Linked DNA regions of Notamacropus eugenii. The protein of the gene in region 3 purifies or fractionates together with the protein of the main gene of each other region. This does not show direct contact. Links are inferred from orthologs where the notes say so. Each region holds a gene or a part of one and is shown on either strand. Other genes may lie near its edges. The genes, in order: ATG9A, AP1S2 and AP1M1.

What was found.
Region 1: the proteins of AP1M1 (region 3) and ATG9A purify together in Homo sapiens (affinity purification with western blotting, with the first as the bait; 3 studies listed by BioGRID). This does not show direct contact. The link is inferred for Notamacropus eugenii from reciprocal best matches to the Homo sapiens genes AP1M1 and ATG9A.
Region 2: the proteins of AP1M1 (region 3) and AP1S2 fractionate together in Homo sapiens (co-fractionation; 6 studies listed by BioGRID and IntAct, counting the BioPlex papers as one, with this or other methods). This does not show direct contact. The link is inferred for Notamacropus eugenii from reciprocal best matches to the Homo sapiens genes AP1M1 and AP1S2.

The regions. Positions count from the first base shown.
Region 1 is NC_092877.1:317,720,554-317,727,681, forward strand, and holds the start of ATG9A (autophagy-related protein 9A), read right to left. Parts: upstream 3,014-7,128; 5' UTR 2,923-3,013; intron 2,188-2,922; exon of another isoform or gene 2,138-2,187; 5' UTR 2,080-2,137; intron 1,662-2,079; 5' UTR 1,636-1,661; coding exon 1,533-1,635; intron 1,439-1,532; coding exon 1,395-1,438; exon of another isoform or gene 1,367-1,394; intron 1,219-1,366; exon of another isoform or gene 1,146-1,218; coding exon 1,081-1,145; intron 834-1,080; coding exon 672-833; intron 33-671; coding exon 1-32. Other genes in the region: tRNA endonuclease ANKZF1, read left to right, coding at 3,407-3,548, 3,914-4,029, 4,121-4,223, 4,321-4,514, 5,203-5,315, 5,412-5,559, 5,852-6,080, 6,267-6,392 and 1 more. UniProt on the Homo sapiens protein: Phospholipid scramblase involved in autophagy by mediating autophagosomal membrane expansion. Cycles between the preautophagosomal structure/phagophore assembly site (PAS) and the cytoplasmic vesicle pool and supplies membrane for the growing autophagosome.
Region 2 is NC_092876.1:374,165,594-374,172,866, reverse strand, and holds the start of AP1S2 (AP-1 complex subunit sigma-2), read right to left. Parts: upstream 3,097-7,273; 5' UTR 3,068-3,096; coding exon 3,023-3,067; intron 2,667-3,022; coding exon 2,488-2,666; intron 1-2,487. UniProt on the Homo sapiens protein: Subunit of clathrin-associated adaptor protein complex 1 that plays a role in protein sorting in the late-Golgi/trans-Golgi network (TGN) and/or endosomes.
Region 3 is NC_092875.1:59,288,246-59,295,359, reverse strand, and holds the start of AP1M1 (AP-1 complex subunit mu-1), read right to left. Parts: upstream 3,102-7,114; 5' UTR 3,063-3,101; coding exon 2,994-3,062; intron 1-2,993. UniProt on the Homo sapiens protein: Subunit of clathrin-associated adaptor protein complex 1 that plays a role in protein sorting in the trans-Golgi network (TGN) and endosomes.

The DNA.
Region 1 (7,128 bases), on a different chromosome or scaffold from region 3:
GAATGGAGATGAGTGAGCCATTCTCTTGGATCCTGGTAAGGAGGGGAACAGGCACCCTGACCCACCTGCCTGCCTAACTTTTGTACAGACTGCCCTCAAAGGCCATTCTGCAAGCCAGTTGCTACACCTGAACTTGTGTTCGAAGGTCAGGCTGGCATCCTACACACACATGTTCCCCAGAACTGACTGTATGACAGTAGCCACTGCAGCCACCATTTTTAGCCTCAACATGTACTGAGCTGTGCTAAGAAACCAAAGTAAAATGTGCTTGGGCACACACACACAGACACACAGACAGACAGACAGACAGACAGACACACACACACACACACACACACACACACACACACACACACACTCTCTCTGACATTTAGACTTAAAACTTCTCTTCCCAAAGGGCAAGTTTATATATGTTACATACAAGAGAAATACAATGTCATCCATTAAAAGCAATTTACAGAAAAAGGGCACCTTCAAAGGAAAGGAATATCAACTAAGGTGTAGCAGTCTTTCTGTTATCAGCAGGGTCTTCCATAGTTAGGACAAAAAGTCTCTTAAGCTTAAAATGCTATTTTGAATTCCTGAAGCTGCTTGCTGTCTCCTCCAGCTAATGCACATTATCCAAATAACAAGTGAAACTTAACAGCACTTTTATCACCTTGGGTCCTTACCTGGCACTGCACACCTGGGCAGGCAGGAAGGCATCTGGCAATGTGACTTTGACAGGATCACTAGGGTGCAGACTGTGATTCACCATCTTGTTAGCAAAGAGGATGTCATAATCCACACAGCTGACCAGAAAGGTGGTAAAGGCCACCACAAAGAGAAACTGCCTAAGAGAAAAAGAAGTAGGAAGGTGCTTGGGTGTCTCCTGGTGTTGAGGAAACAACAGTGAGACATAAAGGAAATTAAAAGGACATGTGGGAGGTGAAGGATAGGCTTTTGTTGAGAAAGAGGCAGAAAGGAGCTAAGTGTGGCCCCAACTCAAGGCCACATCCGCTTCTTTAGGCTCAATGACCTATATGAAATCACTGAAATGGAAGCAGGAGGATGAAGCCCTTCCCCCTTCAGTCTACTTACATGAGTTCAAACACATCCCCAATGAGCATGCATGTAAAGCCATTCTTCTGGTGCAGGTTATAGACGTGTGGCCGTTAAGAAAGCACTTGGGATAGGTGAGGGCCTAGGATCCCATAAAGAAGGTAGGTCCCAAACACCCTACAATAAGGACATCTTCCTTAGTCCCTCTTAACCCTTCAGTATTCTCCATCTTTGTTCCTAGGAGTACAGTCTCAATCCCATCCCTACTTCCCCCCTACCCTCTCAGGACTTTGCTTAGAGAGTATCTGAGTTTGGGTACAGTCACCTCTCCTGTAAACAACAACAAAGGATATCCGAGAGAAAAAGAGGTCAAGGTTTTCAATGTGATGCCAAGGGGCTGTGGAAATAAGGAGAAGGAAGTCAGGACATCCCTTCCCTGCCCACTAAGGGACATCCCAAACTGCCCCAACATCCTCTTTCCAGGGACTCACACTTGCTGCCCTCAGGGACATGTACTAGCAAGTCCTCTTCTCCAGGGGGTGAGTCACTGTAGGAGGCCTCCAGCCGTTGGTACTCTGTGTCAAACTGTGCCATCACCACCGCCTACCTGCCTTGTCCACCTCAAAAGAATAAGGGAAAAACGGGGGCTATTTTTGATTCAGCACATGAGCAAAGAGTGGAAAGACTTTCAACTCAATCTTTGTCACCAGCTTTTCCTTTTGGAATGGGGCTTTATTGTGTAGCCTTGATTTAGGAGTTATGATTCCTAGCTTCAGCTAAATCATTCAACAAGACTTTATGGAGTTTTTACTGGTCTTTGCTAGGATACGGATGATTTTTAGGTGTGGCCTGTCAAGTGGGAATGAGTTTCACTTTCACTTAAGGGGATGATTCATGTTCCCCCTCCTCTAGCAGAAGGTATCCCAGTCTTTTATAAGAATAAAAGAGGCAATCCAGATTGTGCTTGATTGATTGATTAATCACTGGTAAGGAAGCACGTCGTGAACAAAGGGTTTATATAACTCTCAGGGCACCTACCAGCTCCATGGACAGCATTTGTTCCACTCCACTGTTGGATGCCCAAGTGGTTCTGCAGCTGCAGGAGGAGGTGTTAGGCAGACAATGGAGGTGGGAGAAGGGATGAGACTAACAGAGGAAAATGAAACTAAGGGCAGATCACCCCAAGATGAGGCCAGCTGGGCACTGGTGGTGGTGGTAAGTACTTCCTCCGGCTATGTGGACAGCCCAGCTAGCTACTCGGAGCTTCGGGGCCCCAGAACACGTTCTACCCGCCTTAGGAGCACCAGGTCAGGGTGCCCAGGCTGCCTCTTCTCCTGACCCTTATTAACTGACCTTCTAGGAGCCCTCAGACCAGACCCATACGGGGCTAACGCGAAGCCCACTTGGAATAGGCTTCCCTATTCCCTAGATCGTGACGGCGGCCGACCCTCCCACGGCCCCGGCAATGCCTGCCAGAGCAGACCCAGAGTCAGCGGACTTGGGGCTGGCAGGCTCAGCCTCAGGGTCACCGCAACCACGGGGTCAGGTTTCCCCGGGGCCGGCTCCCTCCCGGTTTGGCCTTACAAGCCCGACGAGGAGGGGCCTTTCCCATGGCCGCTCCTGGGCCTCCGGGCCGCTCGGTCGCGGACAACTGGCCGCGCGCTCCCGGACCCCCACCTCCCGCCCCCTTCCCGGAGCGCGCCCCCGCCCGCGTGTGCCCAGTGATCAAAACACCCGGAGCGCGCGTCCCCGCCCGGTTCCCCCCAGTTACCGCGCCCCCGCTTCTCCTCCCCCACAACTTCCCCCCCTCCAGCCTCGGTCGTTCCAGGCTCAGTGGGCACGTACGCCCCGTCCTGTCCCAGGCCCCCCGTCGCCGGTTACCGGTCCTCTGCTCCTCCTTAAGCCCAGGCAGCGGTGGAAGTGCTGGCGTCCAGGGCTCCGACTCCGGCCCCAACCCGAGCACTAGGCCGGGCGGATGCCACTCATTGTCTCCCGCAGCCAGTCGGACCAATGACTACAGGGGGTGGAGATGCGACAACCAATCCCTTGCTGCGGGGGTGGGACATGTGGCGCGTAGCGGGTGGAGCTTTAGTGGGACCAATACAAGGCTCCTTAGAGGGCGAGGCTAAGAGACGGCGCCGCGGAATGTCCTTCTTGGGGCCCCGTAGTGACGGACCCGAGGTGATGTTTCTGGGAGCTGAGCGGGACTGAGACGGCCTCGGCGCCGAGGGCCTTCCCGTGGGCCGCACCGACACTGTGCAGTCACCGCTGGAGCCAGTCGCCCTGGTAACGCGCAGGTGGCCGGGGGTCTCAGTCGCGCCCCGACTGCTGGACGTGGAAGCCGAGGCGCCCGCCCGCCGCCGCCATGCCGCCCGGCCCAGTTCGAGCCCAGCCTCAGGCCTCCGTGTCCGTGTTTGACCTCAGGGCAGGCGACTCGCTCCTGCAGGGCCTACGCCTGGTGGGCCGGGCGCAGGGCGCGGCCTTGCCCCGGGCCCCGGCGGGTCCAGGTAGCCGAGGGCCCCGGGGAGGGGCGGTGTGGGAGGGACTCCCCCGTGGGCCTCGGCCTTTCTGTGACTGCCCGGGGAGGATCCCCCGGGGAGCGCGGCGAACTTACTCTGCGCGGTCATCTGAAGTTACCACGCGGGTGCGCTGGGGTTTTGTTTTTGTTCGGCAAACCTACAGAATTCCCCCTGAACTGCCGGCAGCCACAGTGCTCGGATTTTAAGATTGTCCGTGGGCAGCGCCCCTCCCGAACACCCGCAAAGCCATGGCCTTGTGTGGGTGTGGCAAAAAGGGCTGGAGATCCAGTTGGCCCCGCTGGTTTTAGTGGGCCCTGGCCGCCCCTGAGGTTCTCTCCTTCCCTTCATTCCAGACTCCGAGAAGGAGACCAGCCCCGGGGGACAGGAGGTCCCCAAGGGGCACGCTGAAGTCTCCGATCGCATGTTTTGCTCGGCCTGCATCCAGTCCTTCCAGAGCCGCCAGGATCAGGTACCCGGATCGGACTGCAGTGCGCGGGGCAGGACTGGGCAGGGGCAGGGGCCGGTGGGCTGGAGCTCATGCTGAGTCTGCATTCCACCAGAGGGAGCATTACACTTTGGATTGGCATCGTTTTAACCTGAAGCAGCGCCTCAGGGGCCAGCCTCCCCTGTCTGCCCACGAGTTTGAGAAGCAGAGCTGTTCAGGTGACCAGTGGGGACAGGTACAGCCCGTGGAGGGGTTCAGCCAGGGAATTTGGGGAAGGTGAGGGGTATGACATGAGTCCCCCCACCTTGTCCCCAGGAGACTTTTCCAGTATCTCGGGTTCAGAAGAAGACTCGGACTGGGACTCCGAGGCAGAAAAGGCCAAGTTGGAGGAGCTGGTGGAGCTAAGGAGACCAGACTCCCACCGTGGCTTTCACCCACACCGTGTCCTCTTTTGTAATGCTCAGGGCCAGTTCCTCTCTGCCTTTCGATGCCTCCTGGGTCCTCGACAGGCAAGTAACCTCCTCAGTTTCTTTGTTTGCTCCAACTCTTTTGTCCCCTCTAGCCTAGACTTCCATTTTGTACATTTGTCTCTCACCTCTTCCCTGAGTTTGGATGGATAGAACAAACACTTATTAAACACCTGCTGTGTGCCAGGCACTGTGCTAAAAATGGGAACAAGTGCCATGGGTTGAGCTAGTCCAGGGGTGGGGAATCTACTACCTCAAGGTCACACGAGGCTCTCTAGGCCCTCAAGTTTGGCCCTTTATATCAAAACCTCACAGAACAAATCCCCAGTCAAAGGGCTGCACTTGAGGACCTAGAGGGCCAAAGGTTCCCTAGACCTGAGATAGTCTGTACTTTGATGGTGGCATGGTAATAATAATAGCTTGCATTTGTATAGCACTTTAAAGTTTGCAAAGCTTTTTCAAATATATCTATCTTCACAATAACCCTGGGAGGTTGATGGTATTATTATCCCCATTTTACAGATGAGGAAACTGAGGCTGAGAGAGGTTAGGCGACTTTCCCAAGGTCATACAGTGTCTGAGGCTGGATTTGAACTCAGGTCTTCCTCACTCCAGGGCCAGTACTATACTGTACTACCTAGTTGCTACTAAGGGTGAATTATTAAGTTCTGAGAGCAGACTGCAGAAGATACAGTAGGTTGAGCTAATGTTTTCTTCCTTATCTTTGTAGGACCCCGCCAAGGAGGCAGAATTGCTGTTGCAGACCCTACAGGGTGGGGGTCCTCAGTGCTGTGTGGTCCTCATGGCTGCAGCTGGTCACTTTGCTGGTGCTGTCTTCAGAGGGTAATAAGCAAAAACTGAACAGAGTGTTGAGATGAGTGCAGGATTAGTTTCTCAGAAAAGCCCTCTCACCTTCAGGACTGAATATACTGTTTGTAGGAGAGAAGTAGTGACACACAAAACATTTCACCGCTACACTGTCCGGGCACGGCAGGGGACAGCTCAGGGACTTCAGGATGCCCGTGTTGGAGGTTCTCGTTCTGCTGGAGCCAACTTGAGGCGCTACAACGAAGCTGCACTATACAAGGTGGGTCATGAAGCTCCTTCAGAATCTTTTCTCAAAATTTTCTTCTCCCTCAATTTAGTTTCTTCTAACATAAGTGGAATAGGAAGGATTTTGCCCCCACTCCCCCTTTTTTTAAAAATAATTACCAACATTGCTTTTTCCTAAGAAGAAATTTTAGAGTGGAAATCTCCAGGGGCATTACTCCCTTTAATTTTTAACCCTCCTATGTCTTCCCTCAATCTATGATTCTTGAGTCACTGCCTGGCTGGAGGATGGAACATAGCCTGTGGAGCTGAGCTGCTGTCTCTTCTAGGAGGTTCGAGAGCTGCTGGCAGGGCCAGGCTGGGCAGGGCCACTGGGGGAGGCAGGGACTATACTGCTTCGAGCTCCCCGGTCTGGCCAGGCTCTCTTCTTCGGGGGCCGTGAAGCACCACTGCACCGGGGGGATCCCCGTCTGTGGGATATTCCCCTTGCTACCCGTAGACCCACCTTTCGAGAGCTTCAACGTGTACTTCAGGTGCTGGCCATGGTGCACATTCATGGTGAGAGCTTAGCCCAGATCTTCAGGTTATTTCTTCCTACTTTCTGACCCAAATTCTGGTAAAAGGGAACCATTTGGTGCCTATGGGGCTCCCCAGCCACATCTTCATGGTGAGGACCTTGGTATTCCTTCTTCTAACTGAGCCTACTAGGGAGCCTACTGGTCACAGCTTTCTGTTTTGGTACAGGAGAAGACCCAAGGGAAATGACCAGATTGGATTCTCCTCAGACAGACTGGAAAGTGAAAAGTGAGAAAAAGAAGACCACCAGTCAGAAGGGTCCAAGTAATGATGATGAGGTCATTAGGCTGAGTGGTGAGTCTCTCCTTGTGAAGTAGAGTTTTTCTCATGCCTCAAAGAACTCTTCTTTTCCAGGTGTTTCACTCAAAAAGGTACCAAAATTTGAGTTCATCTTCCTCTTTTTCCATGAGGATATCTATTTTTCTGTTGCATATATTGGACTCAGTCCTGTGCAGATACTTTTCGATCACTAACTTCCCAACTCAAATTTGTGCTTTCCTTTGGGAGAGACAATAGAGATGGGTCATGTCTGCCAGGGAAGCTTTGGCTTCTCAGGGTAGACCTCCTGTAAAGTTTCTTAAAGTCCCTGATCAAGAGCTACTCTACTGACACGATGTTATTAAAACAAAGCTATGAGCTTTTGATTTTGCTAGTTTCTATTCTCCTGGGTTTGCCTCTATTATGAGTCACTTTCTTCCTCTGTCCTTGCTGGGCCAATCTTCACAGCGTAGAGTGGCGGTTTCTGTATTTAAAATAGTAGTTACCATTAATGATTGACAATGTGCTCTTTTTTTATGTTCTGAATTATAGTGTTTATCTATCTTTATACATTTTCATTCATCTAAGCAGCTCACAGATGCCAGAACCATATCTTTCTATCTGCTAATGTGACCCTCCATTTTTTTCTTCAGAGTCTGAAGGAGAAGGCAGCTCCCCTGTGGAGCTGGAGCTGGTAGAGTTGACCCTGGGAACCCTGGATCTTCGTGAGTTTGAATTACTGCCCAAGAGGAGAAGAAGAAAAAGGAAGAAG
Region 2 (7,273 bases), on a different chromosome or scaffold from region 3:
AAACTAGGGTGGTAACAAAGAAAAGAAGGATGGATAGGAGGTGAATGTGGAGTTGCTTCTATTGTATTCCAATTCAGGAGTTACTTGAACTGTTGTATCATTAACAGAAACAGGTAATGGGGGATGGAAGGGAAGGAGAAGGAGAGAGGAAAATGAATGAATGAGACTTTGGCCAGTGAGTTTGAAACTGAAATATACAGATAAAGAAGTTTGCTCAATCAAACAGCTAGTCCACTAATAAAACTAGAACTGAGTTCAGTTCTTTTGTCCCACCATCTATCATTGTTTAGTTCTTCAACCTACCAACATTTTGCTTTTTAGATTCATGTAATAGATATTATAATATCCCACATCCAACTATTAGCTTATTCAGTTTCATAAACTTCTCAAATACATGGGCTATCTGGTGAATATAAAGGATTGAATCAATTTTCACACCACAGGCTACACATTCAATTGGATGCTTTCTCCCTAACTTTCAATAAAGTTATTATTAATAAGACCAAACTATCTGGAAAGCGCATTAAATTGGTATTAAAGAGACCTGAGTTCTTCATAACTTGGGCAAATCTCAACAATGTCATTCTATGAACATTTATTAAGGCACTATAGTAACCTAGGCCTGGTGATACAAAGACAAAAAAGAAACAACTTGTAGAGGTTTCAGTTTCCTCATCTGTACACTAAGTTGGGAGGCAGAAAGAATGGACTGGATGATTTCTAGGGTCCCTTCCATTTCAAAATTCTATTCTTTCTAAATAATACTGCTTACAAAAGGTCAGAACTGATCACTAAATCCAATTTTTACAAAATAATATGAATGCAGTTTTACTTTCCTCTAAATTCATCTACCACTAGTTTTGAATTGCTTTTTATACAATCTTAAATGCTTAAAAAAGAGAAGGAATGGAGAAAATTGATCTTTTTTCCCTTTCTGATTTCAAAACTTTATATTATCAGTTCTTTTTTTCCATATTACAAAATGTTTGTCTAATACTGAAATATTTCTTTTTTATTCTGCTCAGTAAAGTTATTTTACTTCATAAGAATGAAATTATTAAAGGAAAAGAAACAAGGTGAAATCAACACCCCAAATCAAAGTCTACAGATTAAAAATAATTTATTTCACAGTTATGAGAAATATTACTTTCGTTTCAATATAATTATACTACTATACTTTCCACAGAAGTAAATGTTACTATTAAAAAATATATTTCTCATCGTGTTATAAAGAGTAATTTTCAGTTGTTATTTCATAGAGATCAAACTTCAACATCTTCCTATGATGAAACTACTTCGTAACTCGCCACATTTTTGATATTGCAAAACGTGCATTAACTTTGTTAATAACAAAGTGGGCTTTGTCTCAAATAAACAAGAATTTTAAACATCAATATGACTGAAAAGGCTTAGATATAAGATGTGTGACAAAAATCAGTCTCAAATGATCAGCTTGCTTTTATGTCAAGTGCTGTAACTATAAACCCAAAAAGGTTCCGGCCTTCAATGAACTTACATTCTACGGGGGAGACAATATGCATGTGTCTAAGTATTGACAAAATACATAAAAGATTCTTTTTTCCCTCAGGAAATAGGAAGGGAGAAATGAGCAACCAGGCAGGGTTCAGGAAAGACACAATTTCAAGATGCAAAAGTGAGAAAAGTATGAACCCCAGGTATTTTGGGGGCTGGAAGAGACAGGTATGGAAGCAGGCCTTAAATAATGCTGTATGTAAGCAAAAGCAAGGCCAGTTTGACTGGACCTACCTACGGGTACATGAAAGAAGAACATGTATAATTAACCAGGAAAGGTAGGTTAGAGTCAGATTTTGAAAAGCTTTTTAAACACAAACCAGAGTTTAAATCTGATGCTCAGTATTTTAGTTACCTGTCTAGGCGAACCTCAGTGAAAATTATTATTCCAATTTTACTAACCAGATGACATTTTAAAAAATGCCTAAACTAAACAGTGTATACTAGTGGGTTCAAATCCCATTTTGGACATTTAATACCTATGTGATAATAAGCAAGGTATGTCTTTTCAAAAACCTCAATAAAATATAGGTAATAGTTGTCCTACCTACCTTAGAGGGTTGTTGAAGAAAAATAGCTTTGCAGCTCTTAAAATGCTATTTAAATGTGAGTAATGATTATTTACTTTTTCTAAAAGTTAATATGTATGAAGACTTAATAAATTTATAAATGAGTATACTCATCATTAAAGCTATTTTTAAGCTTTGAAAGAATCATCTATTAAAAGTATTTCCTGATTTGTCATTTCAATTCTGCATCAAAGGAGGCATATTATAGTTTACTTCATCTAAGGTTTCATCACTTTAAGTCTACTTTAAGAATTTCTAATTACAAAAGTGGTCTTCCTCTTTGTATAATTGTCCGTAAGTCACTTTTCATTCATATTTGACTACTATTATGAACTAAATAACATTTGGTCTCCTACTGCAACTTTCTGAAAAATGAAAATTATACCTTTTGTAGACAATCTTCAGATCTCGCCACTCCAAAAAACTGCACATTTTGGGTTTACGGGCTAAAACTGTTTGAACAAGTTCTCTTGTGATTTTTTTCTTTTCTTTGTCCGACAGTGGAACATACCATTTCTGGAGTCGGAGCTTTCCTTGACGACTAAAAAGCAACATAAACTGCATCTGGTAAAATAAACAAATCAAATCTTATTTTCAGATTCTACACACACTGAGATAAAGCTACATTTTTTCAATGTAGCTTTTAACAAGCTCCATTATAACAGAACAGAGAGAAAGTAAATTGATACATGATTATCATAATATCCACACTAAATTAAAAAATAAAAATAAATCATTCACAGAGCTGTCTCTCTCACACACACAAACTCAGAAATGCAATTGAAAATTTAAAAATTATTATAATTATGGTTAGAGCAGGAAACCATCACCTTTGATACGCTTTAAAGAGGCAAAGAATAACATGTTTTAGTAACATTTGATGTAGTCATATAAAACATGTTTGTTTTCTCTTATAATACCTTATTTGTCCCAACCGGATGGCACTTTTCAAGACAAATTAACATTTCAGTTGGTATCTTTTAACAGAAATAAAAATATGAAAGATCAACCATACTTTCAGACAAAATTTCTCTTCTCATATTCATTTTATAAAAATTCAAAACAACACACACTGTGCCAAACTGGGGCATGACTGTATTATCAAAATCAAAATCATATATACACAAATGCTACCTTTTAAAGTATTTGATATTTGTATGCTTAGTTAGGGTCTGCAAATAAAATTGTGACCATTTAAAAATTTATTATTTCAGGAAAACTTATTTTAGTTAAACTTGACTTTTAAACTACAAATAAGGAAATACTGAATAAATGAAATAACATATTTCATATGTAATTTTTCAATATCTTTTTTATAGTCGTGTTAACATTTCAAGTACAATTGTAATTCTGGATTTTTCCCCTAACATTCATAATATGCTGACTTTTTAAACATATTTCTTTATTGTGAAATGGGCCCTTTCTCGATTTTGTAAAAAATAATTTGCAAAATTATAAATAATCAAATATGTCTTACATTTTTGACTGGGTTAATCTTATTCAACCAATTAAAACCTAAGTCAATCCTCCCTCATTTAACAAAACACAGTCCAACAGTCCATACGCATTTATTAAACGCTTACTATGAGTCAAGTATTGGGCTAATAACATTAATACACTTTTCCACAGATCTCAAAGCTCCTCACAAAGGAGGACTGCAATATATTTATGAACCGCTTACTGTAGGTCAAGCACTACGCTAATGGAAATACTTTTCCAAGGATCTCAAAGCTCCTCCCAAACGAGGACGACACCACAACGTATTTATTAATTCAATCATTGGGCTAATAATACAAAGACTGTACACCTTTCCACGTAAAAGAAAACTGACGGACTCTGTCCAATCTCAAAGCGGCTGAAGAACTAGGAATAGAACGGATTCCATTTCCCCAGATCTTGTGTTATTGAGACGCAAAGTGCAGACTGCCCGCTGGAGGGAGGGGGAGCCCGTGGCCACAACTCCGACTTCTCACGTTGGATGAATCACTTATCCTCCCATAAGACGAGTTACCTGAAAATCTGGGGCTCTACCTGCCCGAGCCTCGGTGAAACCAACCCCCGGGACCTTAAATAAATACATAAGGCGAAAGGCAGAGGAAGAGTGCTTTCCAGGGGGCGGGCAGGGCTGCCTGTTAGACTGAGGATGGCCAAGACGCTCCTGGAGTCACAGCTCTCCTTTAGTCAGAAAAGACGCTCCAGGAGCGCCAGGCAGGGAGGGCGAGAGGGGAAGGGGAGAGACAATGGCCCGCGGCCGCGCTCCGTGCCCCTCGCGAGGACCCTACTTCCCCCTGCCCGGGTCCCCCGACTCGCCATCCCTGGGCAGGGAAAGTCCATTTCGGCCAGAGACAATCCATCTCCTCTGCCCGCCGGGAGAGGGCGAGCGGACAGAGGGGAATCCCCTCCTGCCGGGGGCGCCAGGAAAGGACCCCGAGTTAGGTAAAGCGACTCCGCTCGCTCCTCGCCACGAGTGCCCGAGACAACCCAAACACAACAATCCCCCCCAAAAGGGAGCAGGATTAAGTCATGCGTCCGCTCCCCATCTCTTCTCCGGGATGGAAGCTGGAGGGAGGCTTGAGGGGGTGCACCGTGTACCACCCCACCCCCCCTGACGGGTCACCTTAGGGGTGCGGTCCACGGGGAAGGGAGAAGACACTCCGGGAAGTCTCTGCTCGAGATCCACGCGCGCGCGCGACAGGAGACAATATTACGATGGGGGGGCGACACTTCTCCCCCCACGTGACAGCCGCTCCCACGAGGAGTCCCCCCCTACACACACACTTACTGTGGCCTCAGACGGGAGGGAAGCGCGGTGGCCGCCCGCAGCTCTCAGAGCCCGCAGCAGCCGCCAAGTGAAAAGCCCCCTCCGAGCGTCTGGGAGCCAAGCAGGCGGGGAGTGGGGAGAGGACAGAGGGAGAGGGGCGGGGGAGGCCCCGCCCAAGGGGCCGGCCGAGGGAGGAGCCCGGGGATTCGGGGCGGGGGCTGGAGAGAGGAGGCGGGGTGAGCGGAACCGGGATAACCGGTTCCCGGATCTCCCCCCTACACCACCAACCCCCGCCCCCCCCCCCGCCCCTCTGCAAAACGGGCGGGCTGCGCCACTCCGCCGTTGGGCGCCGGAAACGGGCGCACGTGACCCGGAAACGGCTTCGTGGACGGAGCCTGTCCCCCAGCAGTCCTCCCCCTCCCTCGCCTCTCACTGCCTAACCGGCGGGCGGCGCATGTGCGCGCTCTTTCCCTTCCCTCCTCTTCTCCCCTGGCCCTCCCTTCTCTCTCCCCGCCCTTCTGCTCCTCCTCCTTCCCCCCGCCCCAGTAGTACCATAACGCCGAGTAGGCTGAGTGCTGTACAGTTACTTGTACGGGCACTGACTGGGAAGAGATGAGGCAGCCTGCTGCTCAGGTTCAGAACCCCGCTGCTACTGAGCCTGCGCAGTAACGCAGTCCGCGGCCACGCGGAGGCGGGCTCATGCTCCCCGTCCTCCAGTCCGGGGCTTCGCTTGGAGCCGCGCGCTGGCTTGTTTGTTTCCTTCCCTGGTGGAGGGGCGGGGGTGGGGGGGAGCAGGTGGGGAAAAAAACCAAGCGACTAGCCATACTCCAAGCCGGGAGGCGGGGAAGGGAAGAAAGCGGCTCCCGAATGGTCTTCGGCGAGAGCTAGAGATGCACCCCAGCGTCCAGGCTGAGCGGGGTGCAGTGGGACGCGCGCACGTGCAGTGTAGCTTTCCTTAAAGTAGAATCGACCAAAGAAGCTTAGCTGATGATGGGCGGGAGGAAGGGAGGAAGCTGATGGATCACCAGGCGTTCTGCGAGGGAACCCAGCACTTAGGAACTTGTCCTGGGTCGGGCGTGACTACTAGGCGGGGCTCCAGGGATTGGGCGTGGGTGGAGGGGACCGAAGTGGGAGTGGTGTCTCCGAGGAGGGGAAGCAAGAGGGCTGGAAATGAAACAGCCGTTCGTCTGGCCTCCGTCCTTACTAAATAGAAAGCGAGGGGAACACCCTCCCCCGGCAAGTGGACATGCGATCTGTACCTGCCTTTTACGCTAGGTTTTGCTTGGTGGTTCTTAGTACAAGTCTAGGTGGGGGGTGGGGGAGATCACCCTCTCCGTGAGGTTCGTATTGCAGTGAGAATGCAGGAAAAGTCCCGGGCCGGCGGCGCCGTGGGGTGCCCCGGGTGATCTCAGCTCCTCCGGGCGCACGTTTGCTATTTCCTGTGTGAAGGGGATCAGCCGAATTCCCAGTTCGGTCTATGTATCTGCTTGTAGTTGAGGAAGTTTCCTTTCCACAAATTCGGTGGTGGGAACCCTCCCTCTGTGCCTCCCCCTTTGTGACCACTGTCCTCTGCTAGGATGTGTTGTTAACCCGTGGACGGGTACACCCATCTGCATGTGCCTTTTTTATTCCCGGTAGTCAGAGGAGATTCTTCTTTTAGCAAAACATCCTGAGTTATCTACCTTCAAATATAAAAATCATTAGTAATACTTCTGACACGTTGGGGAAGAATAAACGTGGTTTTTTTTGTGCGTGTAGATACATTTGTAGGTCTATGAAAATAAGAAAATGGCATTTGTAGATGAAAATAGTCTAACCATTACATAACCTTTTTATACCACTGAAACAATGGCTTATTAAATCCTAATAGCCAAACACAACTGCAAACAACCCAGCAATTATAAGGGGTAGTGCCATTTAAAAAATATGGTCTTCTATTGGCAAGAATAAAGAACACAATTTAAAGAAGCAGATGGTCTTTTCAGTAGATTGTGTGTAGTTCATTCCCTAGTCACAATATTAATTGCTAATTGTGCAGTCACTGTGAAGGCTGTAAGCACTAGTTTGTTAGTAATTAACCGCTTGCCTTTAGATCCAAAGGTTTCCAAATTGTGGGCTTTTATAAAATACATGTTTCATCCCTCTAAACATCGTATTTATTTGTCAGGTCATTAAGGTATATTTTCTACTCATCAACTTTAACTGGAAAAAAAATCTCACTAAAAATTCTTTCAGAAATCATTTTATCTCCTTGCCATGAACTCAAAGTAGTTGGTGTTTCTCAAATAGCTAGAGTTTTTTCATTTAAAGTGCAAAATTTTAATGTTAAATTCTCAATGAGAATATAATGGGATAGGGGTTCTATTTAGTTGTAACTCTTGGGGGGAAAGTCATGATAAATTGATTACAA
Region 3 (7,114 bases):
GACTTGAAGATTCTAGATATGAAGGGAGAAGAGGCCAGAACAGTAGTATTTAGAAAGAAGTGATGTGTGCATGCTACAGCTCATTCCAAGTAAGATTACAGGATCTAAACTGGAAGGAACCTCAGAGATCATCTAATCGAGCCCATTCTCTGAAACCATTAGGTAAAAGAAGTAAGAGTATCTACATTAGATACCTTGGTGGGACCATAATCACTGTCCTCAAAATATCTAAAGATTTTCATATGGAAGAGGCCTCAGACTTATTAGGTGACCCCAAGAGCTAGGTATCTAGAGTCCTAGATTCTGGTCATGCCTCTGTCGCTCCTTCTTCTTCTGTGGTGTTCTGAGCTCCTTCCTCCCTCTGGACTTCTGCTCCTTCATTTGGAAAATGAACAACTTAAACGGACAAGTATGGTGGTGTGATTGTGAGGATTTGCTGACAAGCAAGGAAGGGGAGGGGAGCTATTTTTTAACTTAGGTCTAAGAGTTTTTTCCTAAATGATAGAATTAATGAGTTCACTGACCTAGATTAGAAAGACCCTTTCATCACAACTGATGGCCAGCAGTGAGTACCTGAGAGGAAGTCTGACAATACCTGTTGAATCTACTCATTCAATTTTATTAAACATTTCAAAATGACTACTATATGCTGAAAGGATGTAAGTTTCTTGAGGGAAGAGGCTTTCATTTTTGTCTTTATATTTCCAGTACCTGGAACATAGTTAATACTTTATAAATGTTTGTTGATTGATTACAGGATCTTCTACTGTTCTGCAGAGGAGATTTCTTTTTAATTCGATACAAATCTACATAAGGCGTATAGTAACACTTAAAAGGGCTATAAGAATGTCAGCTATTATTAATAAAAGGCAATTGATAAGAACTCTCCCAAAACTGTTCATTAACAGTATTTAAAAATAACAAAAAAAGTTTTATTTATAATAACAAACTATGTGTCCAATGATTGGCTAGCTGAACAAATAATTCTACATGCATATAATGGAAAATTATTAGGCCATAAAGAGTGTCAAATGTAGAGAATTCAGAGAATTATAAGACTCATATGAAGTGATACAGAGTGAAGGAAGCAGAGACAAAAGAACAACATATGCAATGAGAGTAAATACAATTAACACTGGAGAAGCAGTAAAATTCTGGTAAAAAACAACGGTCAATGTAATACTGCCCAAGTTAAAGGACACACCTTACATTTCTGTTAATAATCAATAAACTTACTTTTCTTCTCCAGGGAATGTACTTTGTGGAGGGATGTGGTTGGGTATTTACTGGGAATTATATGCAGCATCAAAAAAGATGTCAAATAATTTATTTAAGCCAAATTGAAGTACTGTAAGAAAGGTACTAGAACACTAAAAGTCAGAATGAACTAAGACTGTCAAGGAAAGCTAAGGACAACAAAAAAAGATTTTTAAAAGCTATACTGGAGAAAAGAGTTAAGAAGTATTCAATGTAGATGGGACAATGATAATGAATGGAGAGAAGACAATTATTCAACTAGGACCTTACTTCTGTTTCTGTGTTAAGGAGAATGGTCTTTGGACTGGAAAGGACAGAACAAATGGAGAGACACTGAAAGAGTGGTTAGCTGCCCTTGATGAGTTCAAGTGACCAGGCCCAGGTAAATTACATTCCAGGCTAATGAAAGAACTTTTGAATGCTATTTCTGAGCCACTATCAGTCATCTTTAAAGGATCAGGCAGAAGAAGAGGGGTGTTGGGGCTAGAGAAAGGCAAATGTCTCTTATTTTCATAAAAGGGAAAAGAGTAGAATATGAAACTCATTGTCCAATAAGCTTGACTTTGACTCCTAGAAAATTCTAGAATGTGTCACTGAAAGGGGTCTATCTTCAGGTGGTGAACATTTAGAAAAGAAAGTAGTAATCACAAAGTGTCACACTTTCACCAGAAACAGGTCATGCTAGACTAACTTCATTTCCTCTTTTGATAGGGTAGATCAGGGGACTGTGATAGATACAGTTTACTTCTCTGCATTTGATGAAGACTCTCATGCTATTTTTGAAGGCAAGATGGAGAAGTATGGGCTTGGCAGTAACACAATTAGAAGGATTTGGAACTGGCTGAATGGCCATACCCAAAGCACAGTAAAAGACTCTCTACTGCAGTGTCCATTGAATCTGTGCTTGGCTTTGTAATATTGGACATTTTCATCAATAATCTGGAAAACGGTGCACATGGCACACTTATGAAATAAGCACAAAGCACAAAGCTAGGAGAGACAGCCAATAGGTTAAATGGCAGAGCTAGGAATCCAAAAAAATACTTGACAGTCTAAGACACTGGGCTAAATTTAATAAGATGAAATTTAACAGATTAATGCAAAGTCTTCCACTTGGGTTTAAAAAGGTCAGCTACTCAAGCTGGAAGAGGCACGGCTAAGCAACAGTTCATATGAAAAAGATCTTGTGGTTTTAGTGGGCTGCAAGCTGAATATATGAGTCAACAGGGTGACAGGACAGCCGAATGATGTTAAACTAAGAAGCACGGGTATTCAGAAAGGGGGAGCAGATAGATATTCTCTGCTGAGTTTACTCTGTTTTGGTCAGACCATATTTGGAGTACTGTTTGATTTTGCACGCCATGTTTTAAGAAGGGCATTAACAAGCTGGAAAATGCCCCAGGGAGGGGGAAAAAGAACTGTGAAGGACCTTGAATGCACATCAGGGGATGACTGGTTGGAGGAACAAGGGCTCTTTAGCCTGGAGAAGAGCTTTAGGAGGGATAGGACGGTTGTCTTCTACTATCTGAATGGCAGTTACTTGGGAAGAAATACTTGTTCTGTTTAGACCCAGGAAAGAGACCTAAGGACAACGTGGAAGCTGCAAAGAAGCCATTTCAGTCTGGACCCTAACGACGAGAGCTGGCCCGAAGCGCGGCGGAACCCACTAAGACGGAGACGGCTGGAAGATCGGCGGCCTGGGACGCCAGGTCAGCACCGGGGGGGACGGCACTCACCACACAGCCCAGGGCCTCCACAGCCCGGCACCACCCTACTTTTTCACGCGTTCTTCCCCCCTCCACCATCGGAGCTCCGGTCGGACAGGGCCCCTCGCCCTGCGGCGGCACCGTGGCTTCTGCCCTCTCATCCCTATGGCCTGAGGGCCCAGTCAGGCGCCTTCGCTCTGTGCGTCTCTAAGGCACTGAACGTGGACCTTGGCACCATTACCACCAGGGCATTTTCTCTCTCTCCTAGCCCTGCCCGGCGCCCTCCTCCAGAGGAGCGCGCTGGGGCGAGAAGGGCGCCGGCTGGGTCGTGGGAGGCCCTGGGTTCAAATGCCATCGGATGCTCCGCGTCTGAACCGTGACGCCCCTTCCAGCTCGACGTCTGGGGTCCCACGGCAGAGCTGGCACTGCCTCTTGCCCATCTTCGGTATCCCCAGAGTTTAGCCCAGGGCCTGGCACACTGTAAAGTGCTCGTGGATGGCATGGGCTGCCCCGGGGCTGGGGCTGCCACCAGGACAGGCAAGGCGGCGGTCAAACACTGACAGGGTGACAGGGACCGCGAGCGGGTGGGGGAAGTCCCCGCCCCTGCCTTGGGGAGGGGCCGTTACCAGGCAACGCGGAGGGGGGAAGCGGCGCGGACCGAGGCCAGGTTTCCCTACCTTGCCCTTTAGGTCTAGCACATACACGGCGCTGGCCGACATGGCGGCGGCGGCGGCAGCGGCGGGGAGGGGGCGAGGTGGAGGGCGAGGCGCGGCAGCAAGAGAGGCGGCGGCACCGGGGCGAGCAGGCGGGCGCACCCGACCCGCGGCACCTCACTTCCACTTCCGCCCTGGAACCGTTATGTCCGGCTTGGGAAACGGCCTTTGGCCTCTGGCGCACGCGCAGGGGAGGGAGGGCATGGGCGTCCGCTCCGTGCGCGCGCCGCCGAGGCGCAGGCGCACTGAGCTCCGATGAAGCCATGCGTCCTCCCAGAGCTCAGGCGGCAGCGAGCTCAGGCGGCGGCCCAGCCCTGGGGCCGAGGGGGAAACCTCGAGAGGGAGGAGATGGAGGAGACGGAGAGTGACGGAGCCTGCCAGGCCCCGCAGATAGTCATAATATCCGTAACGGTGGCGCCGGAGGGCAGCTTAGAACTAGAACGTCAGAGCCGGGAGGGCCCCTAGAACAGGGAACGTCAGAGTTAGGAGGGGCCCCTGAACTGAGAACGTCAGGCCCGGAGGGGCCCCTGGGGCAGGGAACATCTGGGCCGGGAGGGGCCCCTGGGGCAGGGAACATCTGGGCCGGGAGGGGTCCCTGGGGCAGGGAACGTCAGACCCGGAGGGGCCCCTAGAACAGAGAACGTCAGGCCCGGAGGGGCCCCTGAGGCAGGGAACATCTGGGCCGGGAGGGGTCCCTGGGGCAGGGAACATCTGGGCCGGGAGGGGCCCCTAGAACAAGGCCCCTGGAGCATAGAATGGGGGAGCTAAGAGGGCCCTTAGAACAGATTCCAAGAGACCATTAAACTTGCCTGGGGTCACAGAGCCTGTGTCAAAGCGGGGATTTGAACCCAGGGTCTTCCCGGGTCCAAAGACAGGCCCTGCATCGCCCGCTCCATCCCACTGCTCTCTTAACTTGGATTCCTTGCTCAGTCCCTTACTGAACTCACATGGCGGTCCTGGAAACCCCCCGAACCCCGTGTCACCACCTTCCCCTCAGACCTCACAGAGCCCTCTCTCCAGTAGACTTCTCTCCTAAGATTACATTGTTGAATTTCCTTTACTGGGCTTTGGGCCCTACGAAGGCAGGGGCCTGTTTCCATTTACACTTCTAATTTTCCCCATATGGAAGGCAATAAAAGCAAACATTTACATAGCACTTACTGTGTACGTGCCAGGCACTGGCTAAGCACTTTACCATTATTACCTCACAACCACCCTGGGAGGCAGACGCTATCATCATCCCCGTCTTACAGATGAGGAAACTAAGGCAAACAGGTCAGATAACCTGCCCAGACTCCTACACCTAACATCTAAGGTTGCATTTGAGATCGGGTCTTCCTGACTCCCGGCCTAGCAGTCTGCATTATGGGTCCACATAATATTTGTTGAAAACACAGATTCTGGAGCTGCGAGTGACTACAGCATTGTGGCTGAGAGCACCAGAGGTGGAGGCAGTGGGAGGGGGGCGGAGGTGTGGGGGGGAAGTGAGGAGAGCCTTGGGCTTGGATCAGCATCAAACACTTACTAGCGGTGTGAGCCTGGGCAAGTCATTTAACCTCTGCTTGCCTCGGTTTCCTTAGTTGTAAAATGGGGATAGTAATAGGGTTGTGGAGAGGATTAAAGGAGATATTTGTAAAATCACTTAGCATAGTGCCTTGCACATAGTAGGTGCTTAATACTTGTTCTCTCCCCTCCTCCCTTCTGCAGCAGGGATCCTTAATACAGAGTCCATGGATAGTTTCAGAGGGCCTGTAAAGTTAGACGGAAACAAATTACATTTTTATTTCAATGTTTCTTTTGTAATCCTACATTTTTTATTGTATGCATTTGAGAACATTTTTATTTTATTGTTGGGTCTCCTGTCTTGTTCTGGCAATGACCACTGCTGACCAGCAGGAAAACTTTCTTTGCCCTGCTCCATTTCTGTCCTGGATCGGGGTCACCCCCTCCTTAGGCAGCCTGGTGTCCTTCCTCATCCTCCTCCCCTCCCTTGCCCCGAGGGCTCATGATCTTGGTGCTGATCATAGTGTAGATATCCTGATCAACTTCAGCTCCACTGCAAGCTCGGAACACCTGAGCGCAAGCAATCTACCAGCCACACCCTCCCCAGTAGTGTGGAGGGCAGGCCTGTGGAACCTCACTTGGATAAATTATGATTGAGAAGGAGTCCATAGGCTTCATCATAGGATCCATGACTCCTGCTCCTTTATCCTGCTCAGCAGAATAAACTTTATCTTTACCAGTGACTATCCACATTTCAATTCAAATAAACAAGCACTTTTGTACAAGACCCTTACCTTTATCCCAAGCTGTTTTTCTGTCCTTCACCAGGTCAGTCTTCTCTGGTCCCAGATAACTAGTAATCAGTATCTTAAATGCTGCCTCATTCCTCGACAGAGAAGGATGGAGAGGAACCCATGCCCTGAGGTCAGAAGGCAGGAGATGTATTACCAGGTTTTGTATCCTCAGGCTTGAAGTAGTTCTTGCCCAGGCCCACCACTATCAACTCCAGTAGCAGAAGCTAGATCCCATGTATACCAGATTACTTATAGCACAACTTTTTTTTTGTGGTAGCAGAGAAGTAGAAACAAAATGGACATCCACTGAGGAATGTCTGAGGAGATGGCCAGGTGGCACAGTGGATAAAGTATTGGGGTCAGAAAGTTCAATTCTAGCTTCAGAAACTTACTAGCTATGTGACCTAGGGCAAGACACTAATTCTGTCTGCCTCAGTTTCCTCAACCATAAAATAAGGGTAAATCACATGTACCTCCCAGGGCTGTTGTGAGAATCAAATGAGATATCTGATAAAAACCCTTAGCAAGTGCTTGGTACATAGTAGGCACTTAATAAATGTTTGTTCCCTCTCCCCCTTTTTCACTAACTTACCTCCACACTAGGATTACATATTCTCCCCTTAGCTTCTCAATCCCTTATTTCCTTTAAAATTTAGCTCAAGCCCCACTTCCTAGAAGAAGCCTTTCTTGATCCCTGCAGCTGCTGGTCTCTTCCCCTCAGAAGTTAGCTGTTTTTTTGTGTATGCTTCTGCATGTACGTGTCATCTCCTTGATAGAACTGGAAGCTTTCTGAGAGCAGGGATTGTTTTACCTTGTGCCTAGTGCCTAGTAGGTGCTTAGCAAATATTTTGTGATTGAATGGCTAAAGAAATTGTAGGTTGTGAATCTAATGGAATATTATTGTAAGAAATGATGTGGAATTCAGAGAAACATGGGAATATTTGTATGTAGTGTGCAGTGAAGAAAGCAGAACCAGGAAAATCATCTATACCTTGACTACAATCAATCAGTCAACAAGCAACAAGCATTTATTAAAAGCACTAAGCTTGGTGCCAGGAACATAGAGACAAACATGAAGCAATCCCGGTCCTTAAGAAGCCTACAATTCTATGGGGAAGACTACACAGATATTAATAAGTAT